Linked DNA regions of Sus scrofa. The protein of the gene in region 3 binds, or shares a complex with, the protein of the main gene of each other region. Links are inferred from orthologs where the notes say so. Each region holds a gene or a part of one and is shown on either strand. Other genes may lie near its edges.

Evidence for each region.
Region 1: the proteins of KCNIP1 (region 3) and KCND2 are in contact, whole or in part, in a cryo-EM structure (PDB 7E8E), measured with the Homo sapiens proteins. The link is inferred for Sus scrofa from reciprocal best matches to the Homo sapiens genes KCNIP1 and KCND2. Residues at the interface, in NP_001030009.1 of Homo sapiens: Thr60, Arg62, Glu63, Val66, Leu67, Arg69, Gly70, Phe71, Asn73, Glu74, Phe85, Ile88, Tyr89, Gln91, Phe92, Tyr101, Leu105, Phe109, Phe122, Leu126, Leu129, Leu130, Lys137, Thr141, Leu144, Tyr145, Val162, Ile165, His185, Phe189; in NP_036413.1 of Homo sapiens: Ala2, Val5, Ala7, Trp8, Pro10, Phe11, Ala12, Arg13, Ala14, Ala15, Ala16, Ile17, Gly18, Trp19, Met20, Pro21, Val22, Ala23, Ser24, Gly25, Met27, Ala29, Pro30, Gln33, Arg35, Lys36, Arg37, Thr38, Gln39, Asp40.
Region 2: the proteins of KCNIP1 (region 3) and KCND3 are in contact, whole or in part, in a crystal structure (PDB 2NZ0), measured with the Homo sapiens proteins. The link is inferred for Sus scrofa from reciprocal best matches to the Homo sapiens genes KCNIP1 and KCND3. Residues at the interface, in NP_001030009.1 of Homo sapiens: Leu67, Arg69, Gly70, Phe71, Glu74, Val80, Phe85, Ile88, Tyr89, Phe92, Phe93, Tyr101, Leu105, Phe109, Phe122, Ala125, Leu126, Leu129, Leu130, Leu138, Trp140, Thr141, Leu144, Tyr145, Ile161, Val162, Ile165, Tyr166, Met168, Met169; in NP_001365898.1 of Homo sapiens: Ala6, Ala7, Trp8, Leu9, Pro10, Phe11, Ala12, Arg13, Ala14, Ala15, Ala16, Ile17, Gly18, Trp19, Pro21, Val22, Pro26, Met27, Pro28, Leu29, Ala30, Pro31, Lys34, Lys36, Arg37, Asp39, Trp54.

The regions. Positions count from the first base shown.
Region 1 is NC_010460.4:26,620,102-26,626,637, forward strand, and holds the start of KCND2 (potassium voltage-gated channel subfamily D member 2), read right to left. Parts: upstream 4,110-6,536; 5' UTR 2,934-4,109; coding exon 1,819-2,933; intron 1-1,818. UniProt on the Homo sapiens protein: Voltage-gated potassium channel that mediates transmembrane potassium transport in excitable membranes, primarily in the brain. Mediates the major part of the dendritic A-type current I(SA) in brain neurons.
Region 2 is NC_010446.5:108,606,541-108,612,649, reverse strand, and holds part of KCND3 (potassium voltage-gated channel subfamily D member 3), read right to left. Parts: intron 1,803-6,109; coding exon 1,701-1,802; intron 1,402-1,700; coding exon 1,312-1,401; intron 1-1,311. UniProt on the Homo sapiens protein: Pore-forming (alpha) subunit of voltage-gated A-type potassium channels that mediates transmembrane potassium transport in excitable membranes, in brain and heart. In cardiomyocytes, may generate the transient outward potassium current I(To).
Region 3 is NC_010458.4:53,275,141-53,281,249, reverse strand, and holds part of KCNIP1 (Kv channel-interacting protein 1), read left to right. Parts: intron 1-1,270; exon of another isoform or gene 1,271-1,369; intron 1,370-1,489; exon of another isoform or gene 1,490-2,029; intron 2,030-2,035; coding exon 2,036-2,140; intron 2,141-3,181; coding exon 3,182-3,244; intron 3,245-6,109. UniProt on the Homo sapiens protein: Regulatory subunit of Kv4/D (Shal)-type voltage-gated rapidly inactivating A-type potassium channels. Regulates channel density, inactivation kinetics and rate of recovery from inactivation in a calcium-dependent and isoform-specific manner.

The DNA.
Region 1 (6,536 bases), on a different chromosome or scaffold from region 3:
CAGACACTACATTTTTAAAAAACAGATCTCCTTTCAATTCTCTTCCTTTATTTCCTCTTAACACAGGTTCTCTTTTAATTCATGTGTACTTCTAATTTGAAGTCTTGATAATGATTTGCACTATCCAATTGTCCTTAATACAGATTTCAAATGACATAAAGACAACAAAGACCAAATATATACACACAAACCTCTTGGTTAGATCCAAGTACCTACATTGCTAAGGTATTTTGCATATTCTTCAAAATGTGTCACAAAATTACCAACAAGATAAAAGGGAAATATAAGCAGCAGGACATAGAATTTTCACTAATTAATTTTTGAAAAGCCACCAGTAGGTCTTCAAAAATACATGAGATGAGATCAAACTCATAAGTCATTATGTATTACTTTACCATAATTTCTTAATTAACTTAGCCAAAACTTCTTCACATATAAAATATTCCATTATTGGCCATATGACAACATGAGAAATTCTGTTCAACACAATATGTCTAATAAAATTAAGTTGACTTTAACCATACTGTCATTTAAAGAAGGCAATTAAATTAGCCAGAAACACAAAATTTAAGAAGCAGCCTTGGGTATAACTTTTTTTCTTACAGCCATTACCAAATCCTCATTGAACTGATTAACTATGCAAGAAAAGCAGCACAAAGCTGAAAAGGACCCTAACATCACTACCTGGCTTATCCAAGAACTCCTAACAGTAAAAGGCTCTTACCATTTTATTTTATTAGATTCTCTAATATATAAATGCTGCTACTTTGCTGCACTTTTGATTAACATTATTAATAATTTCATCTTTCTTCAATCATCTAGAAATCTTCATTCTAGCTTAAATTTTATTTTGAAAAAACCACATTAATACAGAATGTGTCCCTTGGTTGCAGAACACCATTCCCACCGAATAAAATAATGAAGAAAAGAATTCTAGAAGGAAATAGGCTCCCAAATTCTATAATGCAAACAGCACTTAGTGAACATCAAGAGATGCTGCTATGCCTTCTATGTGTATTTAGTGGGCATGAGTCCATTGCCTGATGGGATCTGTAGTTTCTTTAAAAAAAAAAAAAAAAAAAAAAAGCAGTGTATGGATAGCAGTCATGTGCTTCCTTATTTGAAACTATGAACCTAGAATCTTAAATATGTTGCAAATATCATTCCACTGCATTTTGTAGAGTTGATCAATTTCAGCCCTGATATTCTAAAACACTGCATAATTATCAGCCATAATTAAAATGCATATGTATATGAATATGTGCATATATATTACAAAATCCTTTGGTAATATCTATAATCTACGTTTTAAAATGCTGTAAAATGAGAATTATGGTTCTCAGATGGAAAAGGACTGCCAAAAGTATTCATATGAAAATAATACTTCAAATATACATGTAAACTTTTCATTGCAATACACTAAAGCACTTTCTAGGCATTTCAATATGTAGTGTGTATTTTCATACCTTTACCTGGACAGAAATTTTGTGTTTTTCATTCATTATATCTTTATGTATTTGTACATCTAATATCGAGGATCATTCCCTATATTCAGGAATTCTAAAATTTCTTTGCGTATTTATCACTTTCAAGCATCAGTACTCAACATTTGCCAGCAACTTCCTAAATACCTCAATCACTATATCATACTCATTTCGCCCATCAAAAGAGTTCTTCAAAACCATCTCGATAATACCTTCTTAAACCCACTTAAGAAAGAGAAGAATTATTTCCTCTGAATAATTACATAACCTTAATGGGTCCACAACCACTTCATACGTAATCAACCTCCACCCCGTTTCCCTTGGTGGCACCTACCCTAGTGTTGTCATGGTGACGATGGTGTACCAGAAGGCAGCAGGGATGCTGGTGAACTTGCTGGCCGAAGACCCCTTCTCTGCGTAGAACATAACTGTAGCGAAGATGATGATAGCCATGGTGAGAGAGAAGAGCAAGAAGCCCAATTCCGAGGCACAGCTCTTCAGCGTGTACCCCAGGATGCGCAGGCCTTGAGAGTGGCGGGAAAACTTAAAGATCCGGAAGACCCGGAAGACTCGGAGTGTGACAAAGGCGCCACTGACATCCTCATTGTCCGTCATCACCAGCCCGATGTAATAAGGCAGGATGGCCACCACGTCGATGATACTCATGACGCTACGCACAAAACGGTAGCGACTGGGTGCTGCCGCCAGGCGAAGCAAGTACTCAACCGTGAAGATCATGACGCAGGCTGTATCCAGGCAGAAGAAGGCCACCGCATACCGTTCCCCACAGGGCAGTTCTTTAATGTGACCGGGACTAGACCCACACGGCACTGTTTCTACCACATTAGCGATGACGGACACAGCAATGAAGAACCCTGTGACATAGTAGAACACCAGGGCCATCGTGCTGGTGTGGGGGTTCTCAAACGCCCGCCAGACCCTCTGCCGAGCCGTCATAGTGGGCAGCGTGCTCTCTCCGGTGTTGTCGGTGTCAGCATCATCTTGAAGACGCTCCGCGTTCTCTCGCCTCCGATCCTTGTACTCCTCATAACAGCAGTCGCCAATAATTTCTGGGATGAGGCCAAAGAAGGCCAATTCTTCATCATAAGCTGAGATGCATTCATGGCGAGGATAGTGGAGCTTCCCAGTGCGGTAGAAATTCAGGATGTGGCGGAAGATGTCTGGGTCACGGTCAAAAAAATACTGCTGAGTCTCTGGATGGTAGAAAAAGTCCCTCTCAGAACTGCCCAGCAGAGTGTCTGGGTAACGTTCCAGAGTGTCCTGCCATGTCTGGAAACGGGTGCCACTCACATTCAGCACAATTAGGGCATCCTGAGTCCTTTTCCTCTCCTGCCTTGGGGGAGCTGGCATGGGCCCCGAGGCCACAGGCATCCACCCAATGGCCGCTGCCCTTGCAAAGGGCAGCCACGCTGCTACCCCCGCCGCCATGGTTCCTTCAAGTGGAGGCCAGAAGGGCACGCAAGCCTCTACAGTGGGTCACTCAAAGTAGCCACAATCACCCACTTCCTCCCCTCAAACAAATTACTAGTGAGAAATGTGGTCCAGAGAGATCACCCCTATTCCAAGATAGGGCTCCCTGGTGAAGTCACAGTTTGCAGAAGGGCAAGCTTCCCTCAAAGACAGGTATTTGGAGTAACAGGGGAAAAAATACAATGTCCTCAGAATCACCCCGACGGAACCTTATCAAAGCTTTTCCAGCAGTTGGACCAGGCCACCCCTGGCACAAATAAGTACAAATAAGATGACTTTAGATACCGCAATTTCTTCAAACAGGTGTCTTTGATTTCTCCCCTGACAGTCTGGATAATGTGGGGTCAGTATGTGTCGTGTAACAGAGAAGAGACGAAGGACAGTCAGTGGTATTCTTTTGACGAATTAGAGAGCCCTTCCACCTTCCCTTTTAGCTGTTTCAAACCTTCCCTTTCCAAGTGGCCCTTCCCGCCAAAGGAGTCTCAAAGAGGCGACCTGTTGTTGTAGCTTCCGAGATGCGGTCACAGCCGCTGCCCCATGTCTCTTTGGGAGCCGGTCGCCGTCTCTACTCCTCGGGCCGTATTTGCAGAGGTGCTGATGCTGTGCTGTGGGCACGGCTGGGGGGCGTTAATAAATCCTCCTTCCCTCCATCTACAAGCACCCCCTGTGTCAGCCAAAAACGTTCGCCCAACCTCCCCTTGACTCTCTTTTCAAGTTCAGCTCAGGTATAGTGCGGCAGTTACAGAGCCCGGGAGCTGGCAGCCGCCGCGGCAACGGCGGCAGCAGCCTCTGCTTCCGCGTAGAACGCGCCTCGCCCGCGGTACATACCTGGCAAAGTGCGCGCCGGGGCTGAGTTGCATAGAGACTTTCTCCTCGCCGTGCACCCGGAAAGGGAAAAGCCCAGAAAGCAGCTCGCGAGCAGCCGAATCCGATGCGCCGGGGGAGCATAAATAAAGCTCAAGCGAGCTCTTCTTCCCCTTCCCCCATCCTTCCGTGCCTCCCTCCTCCTTTTCACCTTCCAAAAGCCAGGCGCAGGCTAGCAGAGCAGCAGCAACAAGTTCAAAAGGTGCGGGGGAGGCGAGAACGGAGGGGACTAGCTCCTGCCAACTTACTGCGCCGCGGCTGTCGCCCGGGCCCGAGCGGCGCGGTGCGGGGTTGCGGGGCTGCGGGGCTGCGGGGCGGCCGGGCGGGCGGCGGCGCGGCGGGGCCGGAGCCGGGGCGGGCGCGGGCAGTCACCCGAGCGCGGAGGCAAGAGGCGCTCGGCAGCGCGGGGGCGCGGGAGGGCTGCTAGCTGCTTCCCCGCCAGTGGGTGGTCCTGCATCTCCCCGGGCTCCCCGCACCGCTCTGCTCGTGCGATCAACAAATAAGGAGAAAATAAATAAATAACCGCGCGCACGCCCCGCCACGCGGGTTATGAAAGGCGTCTCCTGCCTTTCCCTCAGCTTGACCTTTCTCCGCCCCCGCCCCCTCGGGCTCCTCTCGCTCCACCCCAGCCACCCACCAGCCCCGGCGCAAAATGTCACCGAGGGAGAGCATCCAGGTGGATCTGCCGGGAGGAGAAGGAGCTTCGTTGAACAAAGGGAAGCTTGACGCGCTCGGCTGCGGTGGTTTGGTGGAGGAGAGGAGGAAGGGGACCGGTGCCTTGCTTCTGCCTCCCTGGGTCCCGGTTCAAGGCGAGCGTGGGAAAAAAAAAAAAAAAAAAAAAAAAAATAGGAAGGGAAAAAAAAAAAAAAAAAAAAAAAAGCGAGAGAGGCTGGGAAGGAGGGTGAGCGGAGCGGAACGCGCAGGAATTGGTTGTCTTCTGGGGTCTACCGGGTAGCAAGACCTGCAAAGCCCCACGGCGGAATTTTTAAGTGCTTTTTCCTCTTTCTTTTTATTTGTTCAGACCAGATGTTAACGTTGCAGAAGTTAATATGTCCTCGGTCCAACTTGCGGAAAAGTCAGACAGTCTCCTTGGTCTAGGTTTTTCCACAACTCCTTTTCCCGTCCTTTGCAAATGACAGGAAGGATTTAGAACCCTTTTCTAAATGTCAGCGTCAAGGGCCGTGTGTCTCCGTAAGTGTGTGTCCCCTTCATTCTCCCTGCATATGTCTGCGCACATCTACAATGGTTAAAGTAGTTAAAGGTGTCCCTGTGAGGGGTAAGTGATGCGAGTGACTAGGAAATTGTCGCGGCCAACCGTTTTGTTTTTCGTGTATCCGGCCAACCGTTTTGTTTTTCGTGTACCCCGCCCCCCAATCATTAGGAATCTTCCTTAAAACCAAACGTGTAACATTTATAACCACTAGATGGCGAAAACGGCGAAAAGTTAAATCGACATCTCAGGTTTGGACGCTTTGGAAAGGTGAAGGATCAAAACTGACCCACCAGAGCATCAGATCACATAAATATCCTCAAATCCACTCCCCACTCCTTTTAGTATTTATAGGAGGTATATTAGTCAGGCCTAAGCCTGCATTTTGATGGATATGAAATGAGACGTGGAGAGTTTCTGTTGAAATGCCTTTTAAAATTAAATCTAGATCACTGAGTGGTGGTAGTAGCAGTACTGGTAATGATGACGGTAATAATAATAGTAATAATATAAATAAGTGTTTGAAAACAGTAGCGCTTCATATATGTTGATGAAGGAGAGAAGCCTAATTTCTATCTGAAAATTACCTTTTCAAGGCTTGGTTTTACTCTTCTTGGTTTGTAGAGTGGCTGTGTATAGTCGTAAATTGAATTGACTTTCAGGCCCTAAATATCTTAGGCATAATGTGTCCACCTTAAAAATTTGAAATAGAATACCTCAAAGAAAAGATGCGAACTAAAAAACGGCATATATAGAAAATCACCAGAGAAGGAGAAAAACAAACCTTATAATGCAGAAGATTTTCTGCGGAGATGGAAAGATATTTTTTGTTTGTTTACTTGTTTACTGATGAAGAGGCTTAGGGAATCCCAAGTTAGTAGTTAATGGAGTCAGAACTAAAGCTCCACGTAAGTTTGAGAACAGAGAACTGAAGACACCCACTGTTTATCTGTTTGTGTTAGTTGAGCTGAAAGATGCTTGTTAACGAATCTATATGGCCTGAATACCTGAAAACAACAGCAACAACATGTTAATTGGAAAATAAAAAAAGGGAATAACTTACCTATTAATATAAGAAAATTAACTCCTTCCTAACCCAGACATGACAGATATATTGGGGGAATGGAAAGCCATGAAAAATCAACTGATGCCGAAGTGGCATGCCATCCTGTAGACATGAGGCAAGTGACCTAAATAGAACCTTTAAAACGTCTCTGTAGGAAACTGAACACTTATAAATAAAATGTTTAACCCTACAAAACCCCTAAGAAAGCAAGAATATAGAGCCCGCAGTTTTTTTTAAAAGGTTTTATGGTCTGTTCTCCCCAACTCTCCACTAGCTTCTTGAAACAGTAGAAAGATGTGGGCTTAGAGGTTAGATTCAAATCCTAGCCCAATAATTTACTCTTTGGTTTTGTTTTATTTGGCAAATTACTTAACTTCTCTGTTTCAAAATTATAAACGATAAGACAACATTTTGGGCCTAC
Region 2 (6,109 bases), on a different chromosome or scaffold from region 3:
GGCTGGCGCGTACGAGAGTCACCTAACATCTCTTTATTCTGCCCACATCTGGGAGGCCAGGACAGGGAACACTCAGAATGAGAAAAGTTCCTTCCGTGGGTGCTGAGCCCTGACCGTGGGCTCTTTGGGGAGGGAGGGAGGGAAGAGTTTTGCTTGGGCTCCGTTTGGACGTCAGCCTGCCTTCCCGCCCTGCCGCCTCTTCCTAACACTTTTCGCCAAGGGTCCAGGGTGGCCCCCACTGCCCTTCCTTTCAGTCTGTCAGTGAGGCACAAGCATCATGCCACGTTCCAGCTGTGGCCCCCTAAGCCACGAGGCTCTTTTTTTTTTTTTTTTTTTATGGCCCCACCCACAGCATATGGAAGTTCCTGGGCCAGGGATGAATCCGAGCTGCAGCTGCAACCCACACTGGATCCTTTAACCCACTGTTCTGGGCTGGGGATCGGACCTGTGCCTCCGCAGCAACTTGAATTGCTGCCGGCCTATGCCACAGCCACAGCAATGCCAGATCCGAGGTGCATCTGTGGCCTATACCACAGTTCATGGCAACGCCAGATCCTTAACCCACTGAGCGAGGCCAGGGATCGAACCCGCATCCTCATGGCTACTAGTCGGGTTCGTTTCCACGAAGCCACAGCGGGAACTCCAACTGCAGTCGATTCTTAACCCACTGAGCCGCAGCAGGAACTCCCCATGACTCTATTTTGACAATAAGCCTTTCGGAATCGAATTCCCAGGACCTGCAGGGTGGCTAAGATGGGCTGGCGCTGACAAAAATCCCTGGCTAGAGAAATACATGTGCTGCCCTCTTCATTCACTGCCTCCGGTTCCAAGAGGAATGGAGGGAGCAAAGGGACCCACAGATTGCATTCCCCTAACCGGGGGGTAGGACAAAAATGGACAGCCTTCTCTGCGTCCATAGCAATCTGTGTAAGTGCAGCCCTAGTTTTGTAGAGCAGCGCCCATCAGAACCGAGAAACTGAAAGGCAGAGGTCAGGCCTCGGGAACTAGGAAATGGGCTCTGGGGACTGAAGCCAGAGTGGAAAGCCTGGGGGAGCAGCCTCCTCTGTGCCACCGCAGGACAGGCTGGCCTCCCCACCAGGGTGACTTTGTCCCCCTCCTTGTGCTCTTCCTCCTGGGGGCTGAGAGGGACCTCATCGCTGCTCTTTGGATCTGAGGGGGGTGGACTTTGACTTCTGAAGCTTGGGCCCAGGCTGAGGATGGGGTACCGAGTTCCCACTCTGTCAGTTCTGACCTCAGACAAGGGTCAAGGGTCAGGGAGGAGACAGGAGGCGGCACTGGGCTGGGACTCACAGTGGTTTTTTCCAGGCAGTGCAGCAGGTGATGGTGCTGGCTCTCGATGAGCGAGGTGGCCTTGCCCACGTGCTCCTCTTCCGGGGTGCCCTGGGCAGAAAAGAAGAGACCCAGGTTATAAAGCGGGCAGCGCCCCTTCTCTCCACAAAAGGTGGGAGGGACCAGAAAAATCCAGATGAACCAAATTTTAGGGTCACCCTCGAACACGCTAACTTTGGGCCGGGGACCCTTGAGCTAAAGCTGATCTCGGGGTAGCTGGTCTCCTCCGGGAGAGGTAAGTGGAGGAGCTGGTGCCCCAGGGCAAGTCTGGGGCTTTGGGGTGGGGGTGCTGGTGGCCCCAGGAAGAGAAGGCAAGCCTGTCCACCCCCCCAGGTCCTCCAGGCACCCACCATCAGCTCCAGGGCCTCGTTGAGGAGTCCGTTCCGCTTGCTGTGCAGGTAGGCATTGGAGCTGCCTGTTTTGGCCACACGGATCCTGGCGAGGCGGGCCTTCTGTGATGGGCAGAGATCACGAAAGAGTGAGGGAGACCAAGAGACAAAAAGACAGTGAGCCTGGCAAAGCCAGCGACAGGGGGCTGTCCCGAAGAAGCCAGGTTCCCAGGGGATGTCGGATGAGGGGGAGGAAGCGGCTTCCTCAGCCACGGGATCTCTGTTTATAGACCTGGGGCTGGATGGAGAGGCTTCAACCCGGGGAATGGAGCGTAGTCCTGGGCAAAGTGCCTCGGGTTTGCACTCATCTCTCCAGCCTGGGTGTGATCCCGGCCAGGGAGACATCACGCATCCAAGTCCTCCCTCCGTCCCCAGATCTCACGACCCCATCGGCTCAGCAGTGCACGTGCCTTAAAGGAGCACATGGCAGAGCTCTCCTTGTCTCCCCGAGGGTCCAGTGCCAGCTCCCCGCACACAGCAGATGCCCAAAACTAGTTAATTTTGAGAAAAGCAAGGAGCGTGTATATGCGCCCCTCAGCCCCTTCCCCTCGTCCCCCTCTTCCCTTAGCATCCACTACTAAGGTAGCGTAAGTAGGTTTTATGTTTCTCTTGCTACCGTCTCTCTCCGCCCCCAGAATGTAAACTCCTGGAGGGAAGCAGTTTTGTTTTGTTCACAGATGCCTAACAATTTGTGAATCAATAAAGGAATTTACAGCGGCATGGCATGTCTGTCTTTGGGAGTGGCGCGGATGTGTCGATGTCTGTTTGTCTTGGGGCGATGGCTGTGGGAGTGCGTGTGTGTGGGAGGCGGGGGAGGATGGGGCACGTCCATACACCGTCCTGGCTCTGCTGGGACACCTGGACTTCTCCCCAGCTCCATCCCTGGGAGCCTTCAGCGGTGTCCTGCGGGAGGGCTGCGTGGTATTGCTCCTGCTGCCAGAGGCAGTGGGACACAGTGCACATGCCGGCTTCGCCTCTCCTTCCTAATAATTGCAATCAGTGTCACCATGACAGCAGCACAACCACCGAGGGAGGCCCAAGAGGCAAGAGGCTTTGGGAGGAAGGGAGAAGGGACAGATAGAGGGGTTCCTGCTGGTTTGAAAAAAAAAATGCGCCTTAACATCTGGGCTCTTGTTGATCTGGAGCCAGCTTCCCTTGCTCCTGGAAGCAGAGGTGCCCACGTGGACGCAGACTGCCCCGACACCCGCTCCTAGGCAGAGAGGTGCTTCCTCCTGCCTCTGGGAAAGTCTGCATCTAACCTCAGTGTGGACTCTCACAGAGGGGCCCTTGGAAAATGGTGGCAATTTCCATTTCTTGTCACCTTCTCCCCAGCCTGGGGAAGCGTCCCCTCCAAGGGTCCTGCTGGCTGGCTCATCTGCTAAAAGGAGGCCAGGGACTTGGATCCAGGCCGTCAACAGAAGCGCAGAGAACACACTCTGTTTACTGTTTCCGGAGAAGTCCCCCTGCGGTCAGCATGTCCTTGGAGGGACAAGTCAAGGACCTTCCCCGGTTTCTAAATATGGGGAAAAGATCAGCGCTGGAGCCTGGAAGAGGAGCCCACGACCTCCGGCTGGAGAATGAGCAGAGGAAGCGGGAGGGAAAGGAGGGCGAGTAAGCCCCGTCGCTCCTCTTCCCTCCGAGCCAAGAGGAGCCAAGAGCGTGCATTCAAGGTCCAGACAATTCTCCTCCCTGGGACTCCGGCTCCAGCCTTCCCCTCAGCCGGGTGTCTACATTCAAGCCAGTGCTTCAGCATTTGAGGATGGAGCCGTTATTGCTTTGGCTGAGTCCTGGGTGTTGAGAGCTGCATATGGAAATCCAATTGTGTCAAGCTCATTATCGCCGTATATAATTTGATCGCACCACTTAGAGGCAGACCTTTCTTGTATCTGGGGTCTGTCTTCATTACTTTCTAGAGATGAAAGATTCTCCTGCTTGCCTTTGTGGCACCTCTTTTAATCTTATCTTACCCTGGGCTCTATTAAAGCAATGGACTGTCATATCAAATGCCCTATATCGCTTAATCATTCCCCCCCACACAGGATAAAGAGGTTTGCCACGTATTTACAGAACCATACCCCGCATGTGTAATTTGGTGAGGACTTTTGGCTTGACTTTGAGCTCCCGAGGGCCAGAGCCCGTCACTTATGCATATTTTTATCTTCAGCCCCCAGCACAGAGCTTCCTACAGAGCATGCTCAGGTGAGGCTGGTGACGGCCCAGGAAGGAGGACGGTCCTACACAGTTGGTGAGAAAGTCACATTAATAAAGCCACTGTGCTAATAAAGCCACGTTAGCACACTCCTTGTGTGGACGGATCAGCCTCCCTCTCTTCTGTGGCCAGGAGCACAGTGTGAGAGTTATAGGAACATGGAGATCATCTAGACTATTTTACTTGTTAATTTTTGTATTTTTATTTGTTTATTTATTTATTTATTTATTGGCTGCACCTGCAGCATATGGAAGTTCCCGAGCCAGGGGTCGAGCCACAGTCACTGTAGAAGCAACACTGAGTGGTTATGTTGTGAGCCACACGGGAAGTTCAGTTTTTAAATTAATTTTTCTTTCTTCTTTTCTTTTTTTTTTTTGCTTTTTTAGGGCCACACCCGCTGCACATGGAAGTTCCCAGGCTAGGGATCCAATCAGAGCTATGGCCACCAGCCTAGGCCACAGTCGCAGCAATGCAGGATCCGAGCCAAGTCTGGAACCTACACCGAAACTCACGGCAACGCTGGATCCTTAACCCACTGAGCGAGGCCAGGGATCAAACCTGCATCCTCATGGATACTAACTAGGTTCCTAACCTGCTGAGCCACAATAGGAACTCTCCAGGCTATGTTATTTATTTATTTACTTTTTGGTCTTTTTGCCTTTTCTAGGGCCGCTCACTCGGCATATGGAGGTTCCCAGGCTAGGGGTTTAATCAGAACTGTAGCGGCTGACCTACACCACAGCCACAGCGACGGGGGATCCAAGTCACATCTGCAACCTACAACACAGCTCACGGACACGCCGGATCCTTAACCCACTGTGCAAGGCCAGGGATCGAACCCGCGACCTCATGGTTCCTTGTCAGACTCGTTAACCACTGAACCACAACGGGAACTCCTAAGCTCAAGGATTCTGTTGTGCCTGAGAAGACTTTCCCGATGAACCTCTTCGCTGTCTGCTGGCAGGTTCCCTTGGGCTGTGAGTCCTGCCATCTCTGCCAGAGAGGGAAGTGGGAGAAATGGAAAAGCCGAAAGGGAACACGGACAACTGCACTCAGGCATGTGTCTCAGAGAAATGAAAACTTACATTCACACAAAAGCCCGTGCACGAATGTTAGCAGCTTTATTTATAATAACCAGATGTCCCTCAACAGGTGAACAGTTAAACTTAACTGTGATGCGTCCATACCACAGAATATTGTTCAGCAAGGACAGGGAGTGGACTGTTGATGCACAGCCTCCGATGAATCTCCAGGAATTACACAAAATGGAAAAGCCAGTCCCTAAAGCTTAGCTACTGTAAACGCCCATGGATATACCATTTAAAGAATGAAAGGGGAGTTCCTTGGTGGCTCAGTGGGTTAAGGATCAGGCATTGTCACTGCTGTGATGCGGGTTTGATCCCTGGCCCAGGAATGACTGAGTGCCATGGGTACAGCTCTCCCCCCCCAAAAAAAAAAGAACTAAAAAAGAAGACATGTTGGAGTTCCATTGTGGCTCAGTGGTAATGAACCTGACCAATATCCATGAGGATGTGGGCTTGGTCCCTGGCCTCACTCAGTGGGTTAAGGATCCAGCGTTGCCCTACGATGTGGTATAGGTCAAAGACATGGCTCGGATCCTGCGTTGCTGCGGCTGTGGTGTAGGCTAGCAACTGCGGCTCCAATTCGACTCCTAGCCTGGGAACTTCCATATTCTGCAGGTTCAGCCCTAAAAAGCAAAAGAAGAAAAAAGACAACATTTTGTAAAGGGAGGACAGATAACTGGTTGCCAGGGGTTAGGAATGGGGCGGTGGCAGAGTGCTGGGGGTTTGGTTATAAAAGATGAGAAGGATCCTTGAGGTGCCGGAACTGACTGTTGTGGTACCTTGACTGAGGTGGCGGATGCATGAACCTGCACAGGTGACAGAGCTGTATCAAGCTTCACACACACACACACACACACACACACACACACACACACGACAAGCAAAAGTCTGAATAGTATTGGTGAACTGCAGCAACATCTATGCTCTGGATGTGGTCATTTTATAACTACACATGGATCTACAATTATTTCAATAAAAATTTTCCTTTAGAGGGAGTTCCCATTTGTGGCCCAGTGGAAATGAATCCGATTAGTATCCATGAGGATGTGGGTTCAATCCCTGGCCTTGCTCAGTGG
Region 3 (6,109 bases):
AACCAGTCTCCTTGAATTTGGTTCATTCCAGGCATGGGGAAGAGAAAATACAAGATGAGCCTGGAGCATCATGCAGTGTTGAAAAGAATGGTATTTATTTATCTTTTTAAAAAAGAGGGGGGGCATGTCAAAAGACCACAGAAGTCAGCCTGAAGGAGTCCCCAGTGGCCAAAGCTGGAACACTTTGAACAAAATACAAAATGCGAATTTATAGTTCTAGATGATAAGCTATAAAATAAATATCCATGAGTCCATAATAAATAATATATACTCAAATGATATACTATATATTCAAATAAATGATAAATACGTATTCAGGTTAATGAATACATAAATAAATGGGAGAAGGGAGTGAAAGCTCTTCCTTAAAGAAGAATTCCAGTTAGTAAACATAGAAGGAATAAAGGTCATACAAAATCCCCATTAAGCAAACATTACAGTAATGATTTTTACAGGCAGTGGCTGCGGACAGAGTCTAAGATCAGTGGAGAAATGTGACAGTCACCACCTTAATCACGTGAGGAAGGTTAACATCACCAGTAATAACTCACAGCAGCCCGCTGTGCCTGTCTGATATGATGCACCAGGAAGGCTATAATGTCACTTCTGTGGTCTTCCTATCAAAAATGCATAACTCCAATCTAATCATATGTAAACCGGGAACTAACCCAAACTGAGAGACATTCTACAAAGTAACTGGCCAGTAGTCATATCAAAAGAGTCATGGTCTTCAAAGACAAAGGCAGAATGAGACACCACGACAGATTAGAGGAGAGTAAGGAGACACAGCAGCGTGAAGTGGGATCCTGGAACATAAACAAGGCATTGGTGGAGGGTGTGGGGGGGGAACCTGACGGAACTGGAGTAAGTTCTGTAGCTTAATAGTTTTGTGGCATTGTCAATAGTGCTGTGGTTCACAGCAGTGGTGCATTGTTAATTTCCTAGCCTTCATCATTGTGCTGTGGTTATGCAAGTTGTTAGTATTTAGGGGAAGCTGGGTCAAAGGTATCCATGAGTACTCGGTACTGTTTTTCAAGTTTTGTGCAAGTCTAAAATTAGTAATAATAGGTTAAAAAAAACAAAAATAGCTAAATAAGGACATGAAATGAGGAGTAGCGGGCAAGGAACCCAAGATAGAAGCTGTCCCATGGGTCCCCGTAGACATGCCCGTCTTTCTGTATTCTTTTCCCCCATTCCAAGGAGGGGCCAGGGAAAGCACAAGGAACCCTATCTCTGGCCAGTGTGATTAGATCACCACAGGGCTACTCACCTGGGCTCCCGTTCATGGCAGACAAGGTGCCAGGTGCAGAGAACTTGGCGAGGAAGAATCAAGCATGTGTCCTCAGAGCTCACAGTCTTGGGGAAACATCTATAGAGCAATAAGAAGAACAACTGAATTCTTTTAATAAGCATGTGCCAACCACTTATTCCATATTCAGAAGCATTGGAAGATTAGAAAGAAAAATGCAATAGGATTTGTAACATCTACCTGGTCCCATCCACCAAGAATGGTAATTATGTCTTTGTAGAAAGCAGCTTTGGGTTATAAAGATAGGAAATTATCAGCATAAACTAGCTTCAGTTGAGAGATTTCTTATAAAGATACAGGTAGTTTCTCTAAAAAGTAAAGTCTTAAAAAATAAATAGTTTTTAAAGTGAAATAAAAAGATACAGAGAGTTTGAGGGAACATATTTAATCCTCATTAAAACTAGCAAGTTGTTAAGTTTCCTCCTCCCCTCTACACCCGCCTGCTCTTCTTATTCTTCTCTTTCCTCTCCCTCCTGCAGCACTGTCTTAGAGATGGCCACACTCTCCTTTGCAGGAATGACAAAGAGAATTTTCCACTGCCTTCTCTATGGGAGGAAGCTCCCAGAACGCGTAGCCCCTTCTGCTTGCTTTCTAACTCCCTCCCACCAGCTAAAGAAGTTCCTTTTAATCAGTTTCATTTCCAAGAGGGTCAAGAGCCCTAAACTCTCACCTAGAAGAGCCTGACTTCCTGGTTCCCACACCGTGTGCCTCCTTGTCCCCCTCCAGGAAATGATGGACATTGTCAAAGCCATCTATGACATGATGGGGAAATACACATATCCTGTGCTTAAAGAAGACACTCCAAGGCAGCACGTGGACGTCTTCTTCCAGGTAAGAGCACACCCCTTGTGCGTGAGCTTTAAGCTCGATTTAGATCAGTCAGCCCACAAGCATCAAACCGTCAGTCACACCACCATGAGCTGTGGTTCATGTCCAAGCCTGTACTACACGAAGTAGGAAACAGAAGAGAACTACAAGATGTATTATTCTCCAGGAATAGATTATCTCATTGAACAGGCAAGTAGGCAGTACAGAAGAGAGCAAGGGAGATTGTTAAGTATAAATAGTAGAGTATGGACTCTAAAGTTCCATAAAAATCATTGGGAGAGCAGAGTAAACAGAGAAGGTGTATGTCACCAAGCACATTTGTGTAGGTGTGAAGCATTTGTGTCTGGGGAGTCAAAGGAAGTCAGGTAGAAACTAGGGTGGGTTGGATTATGAGATCTTTTAATTGACTGAGTTTAGCCTTGCTCTGGTAAAAGTAGGTGGGGCTGTTAATCCATGAATAGAAGAGATTTTTTATGCTAGAAAAAAAATTACCCTAGCAGGAGACCATCAGAGAATGTTAAAGCTCATTCTGGTCTAATCCTCTCACTTTGCAGATAGGAAAAGCAGAGGCTCACTCACTAAGATCTCACAGTAAGTGACAGAGACAAAAGTAGAACCTCTCATGTCCAGTGTTCCTTCTGCCAAGTGGACAATCTAGAAGTGAGACTAGGAAAGACATTTTAGGGTATTGGCAAAATAATCAGATGATGAGAAGATGAACATCAGAGCAAGTTGTGGGGATTTTTTGGCAGGGGGGTGGGGAGCCCATGGCATGCAGAAATTCCTGAGCGGTGGATCAAACCCACACCACAGGAGTGACAATGACAGATCCTTAACCTGCTGAGCCACTGGGGAACTCCTAGAGCAAGTTTTTTAATTTGATGGAAGCTCATAGGGGTCAAAGTGCTATAACAAGGGCCTAGGTGGAGCTGTCTGGCCTGTGAAAGAACATCCTAATTCTTGGGGGAACACTGGTTATCAAAAAGCAAATTTTGGAATGCAGATTACCAGATTCTTTAAAATGCTTCTTGTTGTGTCTTTCAGAAAATGGACAAAAATAAAGACGGCATTGTGACTTTAGATGAATTTCTTGAATCCTGTCAGGAGGTAAGGAGAGAGTTCAGGGCACAAAACCTCTAAATCTGAGAAAGAAAATCTGTGCTAGGGACCTGCAGGAGGAGAAAATGAGAAACCTGTAATCCCCTAGGTTAGTATTAGCGGAAATACTAACTGGCTGCCACTACCAGTACCAACACCAGTAACAGCACAAAATTCCACCCATCTCCACTGCTCAGGCTGGCCTGTGGCAGGTCTCAGCACAGGCTGAGCCACACAAAGACAGGGTTACACGGCGGGGGTGTGAAAGCCCAGAGGGGGTCGCTGTGAAACTACAGACCTCCAAGTGGGCAACACTGTCATTTTACAATCTGCTTCGGGCTTGATGATCCAATTCCCAGACTACATGGGAGTAACTGGGGGAAAAAAAAAAAACTAAGCTCTGATTCTTAAACCATAATGTGCATAAGAATTGCCTCAGATGACTGGAAATGCACATTTCCAGGCCTCCATTCCAGAGACTCTCAGTCTGGGGTTGGAATCTAGAAATCTTTGTTTTGTTTTATTTTATTTTTAGGGCCACACCTGCGGCATATGAAAATTTCCAGGCTAGGGGTACAATCTGAGCTGAGCTACTGGCCTACAGCACAGCCACAGCAACACCAGATCCAAGGGGCATCTGTGACCTACACCACAGCTCACAGCAATGCCAGATCTTTAACCCACTGAGCTGAGTGAGGCCAGGGATTGAATCTGTATCCTCATGGATACTAGTCGGGTTCATAACCTGCTGAGCCACAATGGGAACCCCCCTAGAAATCTTCATTTTAACACAAGTGCCCTGACCAATGCTTCTGAAACTTTAATGTACAAACCAACCTCCTTAAAGCTCTTGTTAAAATGCAGACTCTAATTCAGTAGGTCCAGAGTGATGCTGATGCTGCTAAAGAATAAACTGGCCCCAGAGTCAGCCAGAGACTGAAATGGAAATAATTGCTTTCCTCTAATTTAAAAAATAAAATGCATTTATACCAATACCTTGTTTCTGAAAGGTACACTGTTACTCTATGCTCCACCCGATAAGAACTGCAAATGCAGGAAAGCAAGGAGGAAGTTATTAACATGCAGTGAGCATCTACCAAGTTTTAGGTACATTATGTAAACTTCACAACAACCCTGAGAGGCAGAGGCAATATGTAATCAAAATATTTAATAACTAGAATAGACTGAGAATTGATCATTCTTAACTGAGTTTGCCCAATGCCCCAAAGCAGTACCCTAGAGAACCTCTGCTAAACTTGGCATTAACCTGGGAGTCGACGGATCTTTGGGTAGTCCTGGATGAGTTACTAGGTAGCCAGAGGCAAAGATGCTGGAGGAGTGGCTCAGGTAAGCAGCTATTTACTATTAGGGTTAGAAACATTTCTACTGTTTAATCATTATGAACTGGCTGCCCATCAGTATTCATTGCACCCATTTTAAAGAAGAGAAAACTGAGGTGATGCAAGGTTAAGAGATGTAGCTAAGGCACACTAAGTGATAGAGTTGAAACTTGAACTTCATTGTTCTAATTTTAAATACCATGCCTTATTGTATTATGCTTTTTTGTTTTTGTTTTTGTTTTTTTTTTTTTGGAGTGTGTGTCTTTTGTCTTTTTAGGGCCTCACCCGAGGGAGATTCCCAGGCTAGGGGTTGAATCCAAGCTAGCCGAGGGCCTACGCCTCAGACATGGCAATGAGAGATCTGAGCCATGTCTGTGACCTACACCACAGCTCACGGCAACACTGGATCCTTAACCCACTGAGCGAGGCCAGGGATGGAACCTGCATCCTCATGAATACTAGTCAGGTTCATTAACCACTGAACCACAAATGGGAACTCCAGCTTTTTTGACTTTGATTAACAGTTTTTAATCAATTTACTTTCTCACATTAGCAACTTCTAGAGCTATTCATTAATTAACTTATTTCTTTTTCACAACCCACCCTATAAATAAATAAATTACAATCTAGGCAGGCTGATTTTCAAACCCATATACTTTAATTGTGAGATAGTTATACCTCCCTGTTCTAGAAACTTTTAAAACATTTCAAATACCCAGATTCAACTTTATCTTCGTTGATTTTCTCTACTTTAGATCTGCTTTCTATTTCATTTATGTGTGTTCTAAATTATTTCCTTCCTTCTGCTTTTTTATTTTTTTATTTTTTTATTTTTTTTTTTTGTCTTTTTGCCTATGTCTTGGGCCGCCTCCGCAGCATATGGAGGTTCCCAGGCTAGGGGTCAAATCGGAGCTGTAGCCACCGGCCTAGCCAGAGGCACAGCAACTCGGGATCTGAGCCGCGTCTGCAACCTACAGCTCACGGCAACGCCGGATCGTTAACTCACTGAGCAGGGGCAGGGACTGAACCCGCAACCTCATGGTTCCTAGTCGGATTCGTTAACCACTGTGCCACGACGGGAACTCCCTGCTTTTTTATTTTAATTAAATTTGCTAGGTTTTATTTCTAGATTTTTGAGATGGAGGTTTATATCATTGATTTTCAACCATTCTTTCTTTCTTTCTTTCTTGCTTTCTTTCTCTCTCTCTCTCTTTTTTTTTTTTTTTTTTTTTTGCTATTTCTTGGGCCGCTCCAGCGGCATATGGAGGTTCCCAGGCTAGGGGTCCAATTGGAGCTGTAGCCACCAGCCTACGCCAGAGCCACAGCAACACGGGATCCGAGCTGCATCTGCAACCTACACCACAGCTCACGGCAATGCCGGATCATTAACCCACTGAGCAGGGGCAGGGACTGAACCCGCAACCTCATGGTTCCTAGTCGGATTCGTTAACCACTGCGCCATGACAGGAACTCCTCTTTCTTTCTTTCTTTCTTTCTTTCTTTCTTTCTTTCTTTCTTTCTTTCTTTCTCTCTC